Linked DNA regions of Coturnix japonica. The main gene of each other region encodes a partner of the protein of the gene in region 2 in a complex. Links are inferred from orthologs where the notes say so. Each region holds a gene or a part of one and is shown on either strand. Other genes may lie near its edges.

What was found. The genes of interacting proteins can lie anywhere in the genome.
Region 1: SF3B1 (region 2) and SMARCA5 share a complex: the UniProt entries of both Homo sapiens proteins name them as parts of the B-WICH complex. The link is inferred for Coturnix japonica from reciprocal best matches to the Homo sapiens genes SF3B1 and SMARCA5.

Annotation. Positions count from the first base shown.
Region 1 is NC_029519.1:26,874,269-26,878,665, forward strand, and holds part of SMARCA5 (SWI/SNF-related matrix-associated actin-dependent regulator of chromatin subfamily A member 5), read left to right. Parts: coding exon 1-69; intron 70-2,848; coding exon 2,849-3,015; intron 3,016-3,707; coding exon 3,708-3,808; intron 3,809-4,397. UniProt on the Homo sapiens protein: ATPase that possesses intrinsic ATP-dependent nucleosome-remodeling activity.
Region 2 is NC_029522.1:34,194-38,590, forward strand, and holds part of SF3B1 (splicing factor 3B subunit 1), read left to right. Parts: exon of another isoform or gene 1-1,252; coding exon 1,253-1,332; intron 1,333-2,431; coding exon 2,432-2,599; intron 2,600-2,764; coding exon 2,765-2,999; intron 3,000-3,308; coding exon 3,309-3,521; intron 3,522-3,828; coding exon 3,829-3,950; intron 3,951-4,397. UniProt on the Homo sapiens protein: Component of the 17S U2 SnRNP complex of the spliceosome, a large ribonucleoprotein complex that removes introns from transcribed pre-mRNAs.

The DNA of each region.
Region 1 (4,397 bases), on a different chromosome or scaffold from region 2:
TTTAATGATGCATCACCAGGAAAACCAAAAGAAATCTCTGAAGCAGATCCTACATATGAAGAGAAAATGGTATGTAACACTGAGAAATCCATACAGCTGTCCTGTCTTAAGCACTTGTCAGAATGGACTTAGTGTTCTGCTCTTTTGAAATCTGGCTTTGTAAACCTTTGTTGGGTCATTCAGAAATATCTCAGTAATTTAAAACAAACAACCCCTTCCTCTCTGCCCCCCTCCCCACACATACATACACACACAAGAAAACCCCACAGCATTTTGTTTGGTGTTTCCCTGTGGTGTTCTGTGGGAATAACTATGAACGTGTTTTGGTGTTCTTGGAAACATTGTCGGAGAAGCTTTGAAGTGCGTACAAGAAGGCTTACAAGAATCGTGTAATGAGAATTATTCCAGTGTCTTAAACTTAAAAAGCGTAATGAAAAGGAATTGGTCACATTGCTTTTGATGTTGAGTAGAGAGTTGTAGACAAGGAGGAGGGCAAAGAGTTTAGCATTCAATGTCTCAGTCAGAAGGATCTGTTGGTTCCTAGATGGCTGCTACTTCAGTTTCTTCAGTATATGGCATCATTTGAAGGCTAGGATCTTTCACGTGTCACTGTTTAGCACAGGAAAATAATTCCAGTTTTGTTTTTGAACTGCAGGAGTAGAGTCCTCTGTAGGAAAAGTACATTAATTTTAATGTGAGGAGAGGAAAATCAGTTTTAAAAAAGGGAGGGAGGGCATAAGGCTTTGAGGAGTCACTGTGTTCATTCTCAGTTGAAATGTACTCTGGTGGGGGCACTTCAGAGTAGGGAGTTTCTTTCAAGCAGTGCAGTATATGAGCAAAGTAAATAAAAGCCAGCTTTGAAAATACACAGGAGGCTGAGAAGAGGTTTGCTGTGAAGTGTGAGTGGTGCTGACTGTAAGCCTTCTCCAGCTCTTCAGCCCTTTCACATTGTTTAGACTGAAAGGGATTTTATTAGCTTTTCAGAAACCCAATTTGTTCCTTATGAAGCTTCAGTTTAGATTCCTTAAACTTGAAAACAGGTAGTTCCATGTCTCAGATTAGATAGGAGGAAACATCCTTTGTTTCCTTTCACGATATCCCAACTGTAGGAGATGCAACCTTCCACTCCTTACCGTTGTATCACATTTTCTTTCTCTGTTCCTTCCTGTTTTCCTGCTCCTAATCCCAGAGATCCCTAATGCCTGTGACTACATGTGGAATTTCTTTATAGCAAAGCGAAACTGATTCTTGTAATCTGCTACTTCCTGTGTTTCTTCTTAGCACTGAAAATAACCCAGTCTTCTGCTGAATTGTTTGTGCTACTTCCTAGAAGAAGGCAAACTTGGGTTTGTCTCATCCAGGCTCTAAATAGGCACACTGTTAAGGAAGATCGTATTTTACTGTAAAAACAGTCAGAAGATGCACTGCAAAAGAAAACAGGAGAAGTTTCTATCTCTGTTGGTAGAAGAATAGCTCAAGATTGTGTAGTGCAACCTACTGTCTGTGTCCTGCCTTAAAGACACAGACAACGTTTGTTATCTTGTTACCTGAAGCACCTTGAAAATGGTTGTGGTGTATTTGTGCTCTGCCAAAAATTATGGCTATTTCCTTGCTAACATGTTAGAACAAGGAAGCTTCTCGAATGCAGTTTGTATTTCTTATCTTTTGTGCTCCCAGTGAAACAAATAAGGGTTGGCAATAAGGCAAATAAGACAATAAGATCCCAGCTAGTTTAGAAACAGTAATAAACAGAAATGATCTTTGAGGAATAAACAGAAACCGTTCATTGGCTGTGGAATTGAGCTGTGTCAGTCAAGCTATAACTGTGGTTAGAGTGTCTCTAACTCCTCTGTAGCACAGAAAGGATTTTATTGTCTCATCTCCTCTCATCCCATCTTTCTGTCTTTCATGTAGCACAGGATCTGTTTCAAGAGTTGAATATACAGAGGGCTGGCACTGTTCTTGCCAAAGTCTGGAGCATGTTCCTTTTTACCAAGAAATGTGACTTCCTATAACTGTATGTTGCTAAATACCAGGTTATGTTGTGGCAGCTGGCAGAAGGTCTGAGTGGTTGCTTTTAAGCTTGGAGCTGTCTTCTGTCTCAATTGCCTATTCTCGAGTTCCTGCAAACTCAGGATACTTGGAAGAGACGTTAATTCTAAAAAGAACCTGTCTCAAAGGACCTAAACCTTTTAGGTATTGTCTCCTGTCATCTTTATTTGTTCAGCAAAGATGGTGAGCAAAGGGTGTACTCAGTCATCTTAGGCTGAGCATATGTAACAGCTCTTCGTTGCTGAAATTGGTTTACTGGCTTTAGCCATGGGCTTTTCTGCTATCCCCAGCCCTTTTTCATGCCAATTGTAATACTTATCTGACACTACACGGTGGTCATTATCTCACTAAGCAGCCAGGATGCTAATGTGGTAGAAAAGAGAATGGTTGTTGCCAGGTGGGTGAGGCGAATGAGTTTGATGAAGAATCCTGTGCGTGTTGGATGGGTGTACATCTCTTGGAATAGGACCATAATTTTTGCTGGGAGGAGGTTGTTAAAGGGGCTCTACTGCTTTGCTTGGTGACACTCACATGCTCTTAGTGCCAGTCAGATTTCAGTCTTAATGCAGGTTCGTTTGACAGCTTTGATCCTAACATGTAGCAGCAGCTGGCCTTGACTTAGTGAAAGAATCTGTCAGCAACAGCTACATTGCTGAAATTAATCATCTCTTTTTTGTTATCATAGCTATGTATTTGAAGATACAGGAATCTGTATTGTTCAAAAAGCATTTGTTGTCTTTTAAATGAATGCATATTGTAACGTCTCACACTTCTGCTTAATTTCCCTTATCAACAGCAAACAGACAGAGCAAACAGATTTGAGTATCTGTTGAAGCAGACTGAGCTGTTTGCTCACTTCATTCAGCCTGCTGCTCAGAAAACTCCTACTTCACCTTTGAAAATGAAACCAGGACGTCCGCGAATAAAGAAGGATGAAAAGCAGAACTTGCTGTCAGTTGGCGAGTGAGTGATGACATGTAGACCAGCTTGTACTGTAATTAAGGATTTTATTGTGCTTTAGAAGCGTAAGTTAACACTGTCAGCCTTTGTCCTGTTTGGAGGTGTTTTACACTGTACAATTGTGGTGTTTTTTTCCCCCCAACTACCCACTTGTAAATTGTCAAAGAATTCTAGGAGTTACAAGGAATCTGTGATGGCAAAGTACTATCGCAATTTAAAGTATTCCAGTACCAAGGAAAGCTGGGGCAGAAGAGTAAAGCAGTCTTGGCTGTAATTTGTAAGAGTTCACAGGTAACACTGTGTGTCCTAGAGGCACCTTGGAAATCACATCCACAAAAGTGGATTGCCTTCATGGCAGCGTGTATGTCTGCACTACTCCTGCAGCTTCTGGCATATGTTGCAGAACCTTGAATCACAGGTGTCATTTCTTGCCTTGTAGTTCCAGACCAGTACTGGTGTGCAGTGTCTTTTGTGTTTTAGCCCTTTCTAGTCACTTTGCCCTAACACATGACCTTGTTCACAATGTGAGGCATCCTATCATTAAGAAGCTCTTGATCTAAAGAACTAAATTATTTCAATTCATCAGCTTACCTTAAGAGTTCTCTTGCAAGAAGCTTCTTTAGGTGCTCACGTGTATTGCAGACCAATTAAATTTTGGAATCGTTCTGAACAAATCTTCTTTTCTGCACTTTCAGCTATCGCCATCGTAGAACAGAACAGGAAGAAGATGAAGAGCTGTTAACAGAAAGCTCCAAGACAACGAATGTCTGCACTCGGTTTGAAGAATCTCCATCATGTGTGTTTCCTCTTTTATTTTTCTCCCCTCCTTCACCCAAAGTGCTTTACCCTTCAAAAGTTAAGCTTGAAACTCAAACTTCATGCTACTCAATGAGAAAAAGAGTCAACTGGGAGGGAGGAAAATGGGAGGGAAAAAAGTCCAGCACCATTTTGATGAAACATAGTAGGTTGGCATGGGAGTGTTTACATTCAGGCTAGAAAGATGCTCCAGTCTTGTCCTTATGAAATCCAATTGCTATACTGTAGTTAATGAGAAAAAGCTAGCTTTAAGTTGGCGGTCTTAAAATATTCACAGTTCTAACTCATCTTGTGATTCAGCTTGAAGTACGTAATGGCATCCAGTCTATTTGACAGAGAAATGAATATTCTGCCATTTTAATGTGGTACTGTTGTAATGCAATGGAAAGCACAGCAATGACAGCAGAGCAGCAAGTTCCCAGGCTGCAGCAAATAAGGATTTACTCAAACATAACAGCCGTGGGCACAGAAATAAGGGAAAGAAAGCCTCGGGCACATAGGAATCTGCAGAGAGATAGCCTCCCCTCCACTGCCAGCCCTTAAATGAGGTCTAGAAAGGGGCATTGCAT
Region 2 (4,397 bases):
ACTTGTGGCAGTGAGGTGCCTGTTGGCTTGAAATCAGCAGCTGTTTTGCAGGTTTTACAAATTAGAATTGCAGCCTGCATGAATTATTAGGGATATTACTTATTTTACTTGCTTAATTGTAATTGATATAAACATGTATTGTCAGAATTCACAGGCCCATACTAACTGTCCTTAATTTCTTTCCTACAGCAGTACTGCTATATGCCAGTCCTGTCTGCATTCTTAAGGGTGCAGTTCAACACATCCTGTGTAGATTATGGTGAAAAAGTATTCCAAAGGAAAGTCCTATCAAAGCTAGTGTCAGAGTGACACAGCCAATTGGGCAATGATCTTCAGCATAGAAATGTTTAAGAGTTTTATTTTCTTCCTAAACTATATTGCTATACCACTCGTATAGCAATCTGCACATTCCTTTTAATTAATAGTGTTTTTCTTGACAAGTCTTAATTTATATAAAGTCGGGCTTCTTGTAAAGTACGTAAAAGTTAAACTTTAACTCAAGATACAGAGCATAAAACAACAAATGGTACACAAACCCCATTCCGTGTGAGTATTGTTGTGGTGGTAAATGTATTACGTTCAGATCCCAGTCGCAGTTGTTCTTTGAAAGGAGGGGGAAGGTGCTATCAGTTTTCTGGGATTTCTTGCTTTTTTAAATGAAGCCCTTTTACAATGTGACACTGGAAGATCTGGGAGGTGTGTCCAGATTTGTCAAACTTATAAATGGGTCCTTACGATAAAGCATTTTAAACATTACTTAGGTATGCAGTAGTTGTTTATAGTCAGATAACTACTAGGATGTAGCAGCTTGCACAAGGTAATGTTTTGAATATAAATATCTTTCCAAAGTGTTACTAATGGTAAAGAGATAATTTTCTAGGCTTCTATTCTGCTGCTTGAAGTCAGAACTGCTGATGGAGACAAAGGCACGAAAGTGTACGTATTCCGGATTAGCAACCCAGGAACCCATCACTTCTGAAGACTCTTAACTGTGTTGTCATTCTATCATTTATATCTGCTTTAAAATATTTGTTTGAAACTGCAGTAGTTACGTTTGTGTTCAAACAGGTTAAATTGATCAGCAAACTGAATAAACGTAAGATACACGTAATTTTAAAAATTTTCAATCAAAAAGTAAAATTAAATGATCATGGAATAAAATAATATTAGAGCAGGACTATAGAAAAAGTTGGTAGATTCTGCTTACCCTGTACTCATTGTGCTCCATTCCTGTTGCTGTTCTCTTCTACAGGAGGGAAGACACCAGACCCTAAAATGAATGCCAGAACGTACATGGATGTTATGCGTGAACAGCATTTAACAAAAGAAGAGGTGAGTTGGGGGTGGGGTTTGCTTGTGAACTTGGTTTCATTCTGCTGCCTGAGAAATGGCCATAGGAGCAGTGGGAATGGAAATTCTGTTGAATCGTTCAGTTTTTTTCCTTTGTAAATGTTGAACCGTGATGGTGGACCTTATGGATGGTAGCTTTGAACAACGTCTGTTCCACATCATACCAAAAGAACGAAGGGAGGAATGCTGTCGGTGTATGTTACTTTGGATTGTTCTGTAGCTCTCGGGTTGTCTGTTTTCTTTCAGAGGTGAAGAAGTGGAACCTGAGAGATATAGAGAGGTGTTTTGTGTTGGAGGGATTTGTTTTTGTGAGCTTTATATAAAGAGAATCCAGGGGGGTTTTAATAGGCTTTTGTTGCAGTAGCAACAGCTGGTTAACATTTGGCTTAAAACTTGAAAGGAGAAAATTGAGTAAAACCACCTATTAATAGTTACTAAAAATTCAATATAGTAGTTTGAAAGATATTGGTAATATAATAAGATTTCTTCTGTCATACCTACAGAGCAGGTTAATTGGAGAAAGATTTTAGAGCTCCATTGACCTTTGTTGGTTTATACTGATTTACTCAAATCGACAGCGGTTGAGGAAATAGTTTCCCGTTTTGGTAGCCTTACTGTATGAACTAATTGATAAATCAGAAATAGTCTGTGAGTGTGGTGTTTCAACAGTGTCATTTTGGAATTCTAAATGAGAACTCATGGCTTTTTTAATGTCTCAGCATATAACTCGTGTGAGTTTATTTTCTAATTCTCTTTAATAATTTACTGAGGTGGAATTCACTTGAAACAGGCTAGTAGTAGTTCTTAGGTATTCATATGGGAAATAGAAACCGACAGCACTAAAGCATTCTGTACAGTTGTATTTCTGCTATACTATGAACTTGGGTAGCAAATGAATTTAAACGTAGTCCCTCCAAACACGTAGCCCTGTTGCTATGGAAGAATTTGAAATTAGAGTGGCTAATGACATGTTATTTGGACGTAAAAAGATAACTGATACAACTGAAAATACTCTTAATATTAAATCTAATTTGTAGAGGCCTTCTTATGAAATAATTTATCTTTTTGTGTTGTTGAATAGAGGGAGATTAGGCAGCAGCTAGCTGAAAAAGCTAAAGCTGGAGAGCTTAAAGTCGTCAATGGAGCCGCGTCTCAGCCACCTTCAAAGCGCAAGCGGCGTTGGGATCAAACAGCTGATCAGACTCCTGGTGCAACACCTAAGAAGTTATCCAGTTGGGATCAAGCAGAGGTAATAATCCCATGTCCATCAGTTTGTATGTAGCAGATATTAATGCCAATCCACATGAAATTCAGGCTTCTTACTCTGACACGTACGCGCTGTAAAGGAATAAAAACAGCATTCTTTTAGTGCATAGAGGAGAGAGGTTAATACTTAGGCTTTTGTCTTGTGTAGACTCCTGGACATACACCATCCCTGCGGTGGGATGAAACTCCAGGCCGTGCAAAGGGTAGTGAAACTCCCGGTGCCACCCCTGGCTCAAAGATATGGGATCCCACTCCCAGTCACACGCCAGCAGGAGCCGCAACGCCTGGACGGGACACACCTGGTCATGCAACACCAGGCCATGGAGGTGCCACTTCCAGCGCACGTAAAAATCGGTGGGATGAAACTCCTAAAACAGAACGAGGTATGTATGGCGAATTGGAGAGCGTCTAAGAAGTTTTGAATGGCAAATACTGTAGGAGTTTTTCACCTTACGTGAGCAATAGAAGCAAACAAACAGCAGGAAGTGATTACATTCTGACATCTAGTGGCTGATGTGATGTTTTTATCTGAGTTTGTGTAGCACTGAATTCTGTCAGCTTAACCCACTTGTATGCTTTTTGATTCATGTAAGAATGAGGATGAGATAATAAAAATGGAATTGGATGTTTTTGCTGTAGTTGGAGTATAGTACTGTTCAGTTTTCTACAAGAACTGTGTTGTTTTATTTTAGATACTCCGGGACATGGCAGTGGATGGGCTGAGACTCCACGTACTGATAGAGGTGGTGATTCCATTGGCGAGACACCAACCCCAGGAGCAAGTAAAAGAAAGTCCCGATGGGATGAAACACCTGCTAGCCAGATGGGTGGCAGCACTCCTGTTCTGACACCTGGCAAAACACCCATTGGAACACCAGCTATGAACATGGCAACTCCTACGCCAGGTAAGCCCAATCTGTTCTCTAAGGCTTCACTTTTTTATATGAAAATGAGGCTCCAACATTTATATTGTATACTGAAATAGACTTTTACCTTGTGTACAGTTCTCATATACTAACTATACAGTTAGTATGTGTTCAATTTACCTATTTTAATGCCCATAGGAGCTAAGGCTGATGTCTGTGTTCAGTCTAGATAGTAAAGACATGTCATATTTGCTAGTGTGGAAAGTTTTGCTCAAGAAGACACTTGAAGTAAATCTATCTTCTGTTTATGGAAGTTATTAAAAAAAACATTTTGATTTTAATATAGGTCATATCATGAGCATGACTCCTGAACAGCTGCAGGCTTGGCGTTGGGAGAGGGAAATCGATGAGAGAAACAGACCACTTTCTGATGAAGAATTGGATGCTATGTTCCCTGAAGGATATAAGGTAATTAATTAGGGTGAGGCTGCTGCAGCAGACTGATAGTTTTCTTTTGTCAGGAGATATTGATTAAAAAAGAAAAAAAATAAATCCAACATGTATTTCAGAGTGTTTCATAGAAGCTGTTGATTAATTCATGTAGAAATTGGTTTGGTTTGGTTGCTCATTTATTATAAATCCATTAGAAAGTGAGAAATTAATGTTTATTTCAATGGCCAGTTCTTATTTTGCTTCTCAGCCTTAAGAATGTCTGCTGAGTTCAGAAAGAAAGCGCAAATGTGGAATGACAGGAGAGGGTGACAGATTCTGACTTCATAAATATACAGTGTTGATACAAATATTGAAGGTGGGGTTGGAGGTTAAGTTTAGAAACTTAAATAGTTTCTAAAGACTTGTTAAGTCCATTACCCAAGCCCTCTTCTGAAATACTGTCAATAGAGAATAAGCATGAAT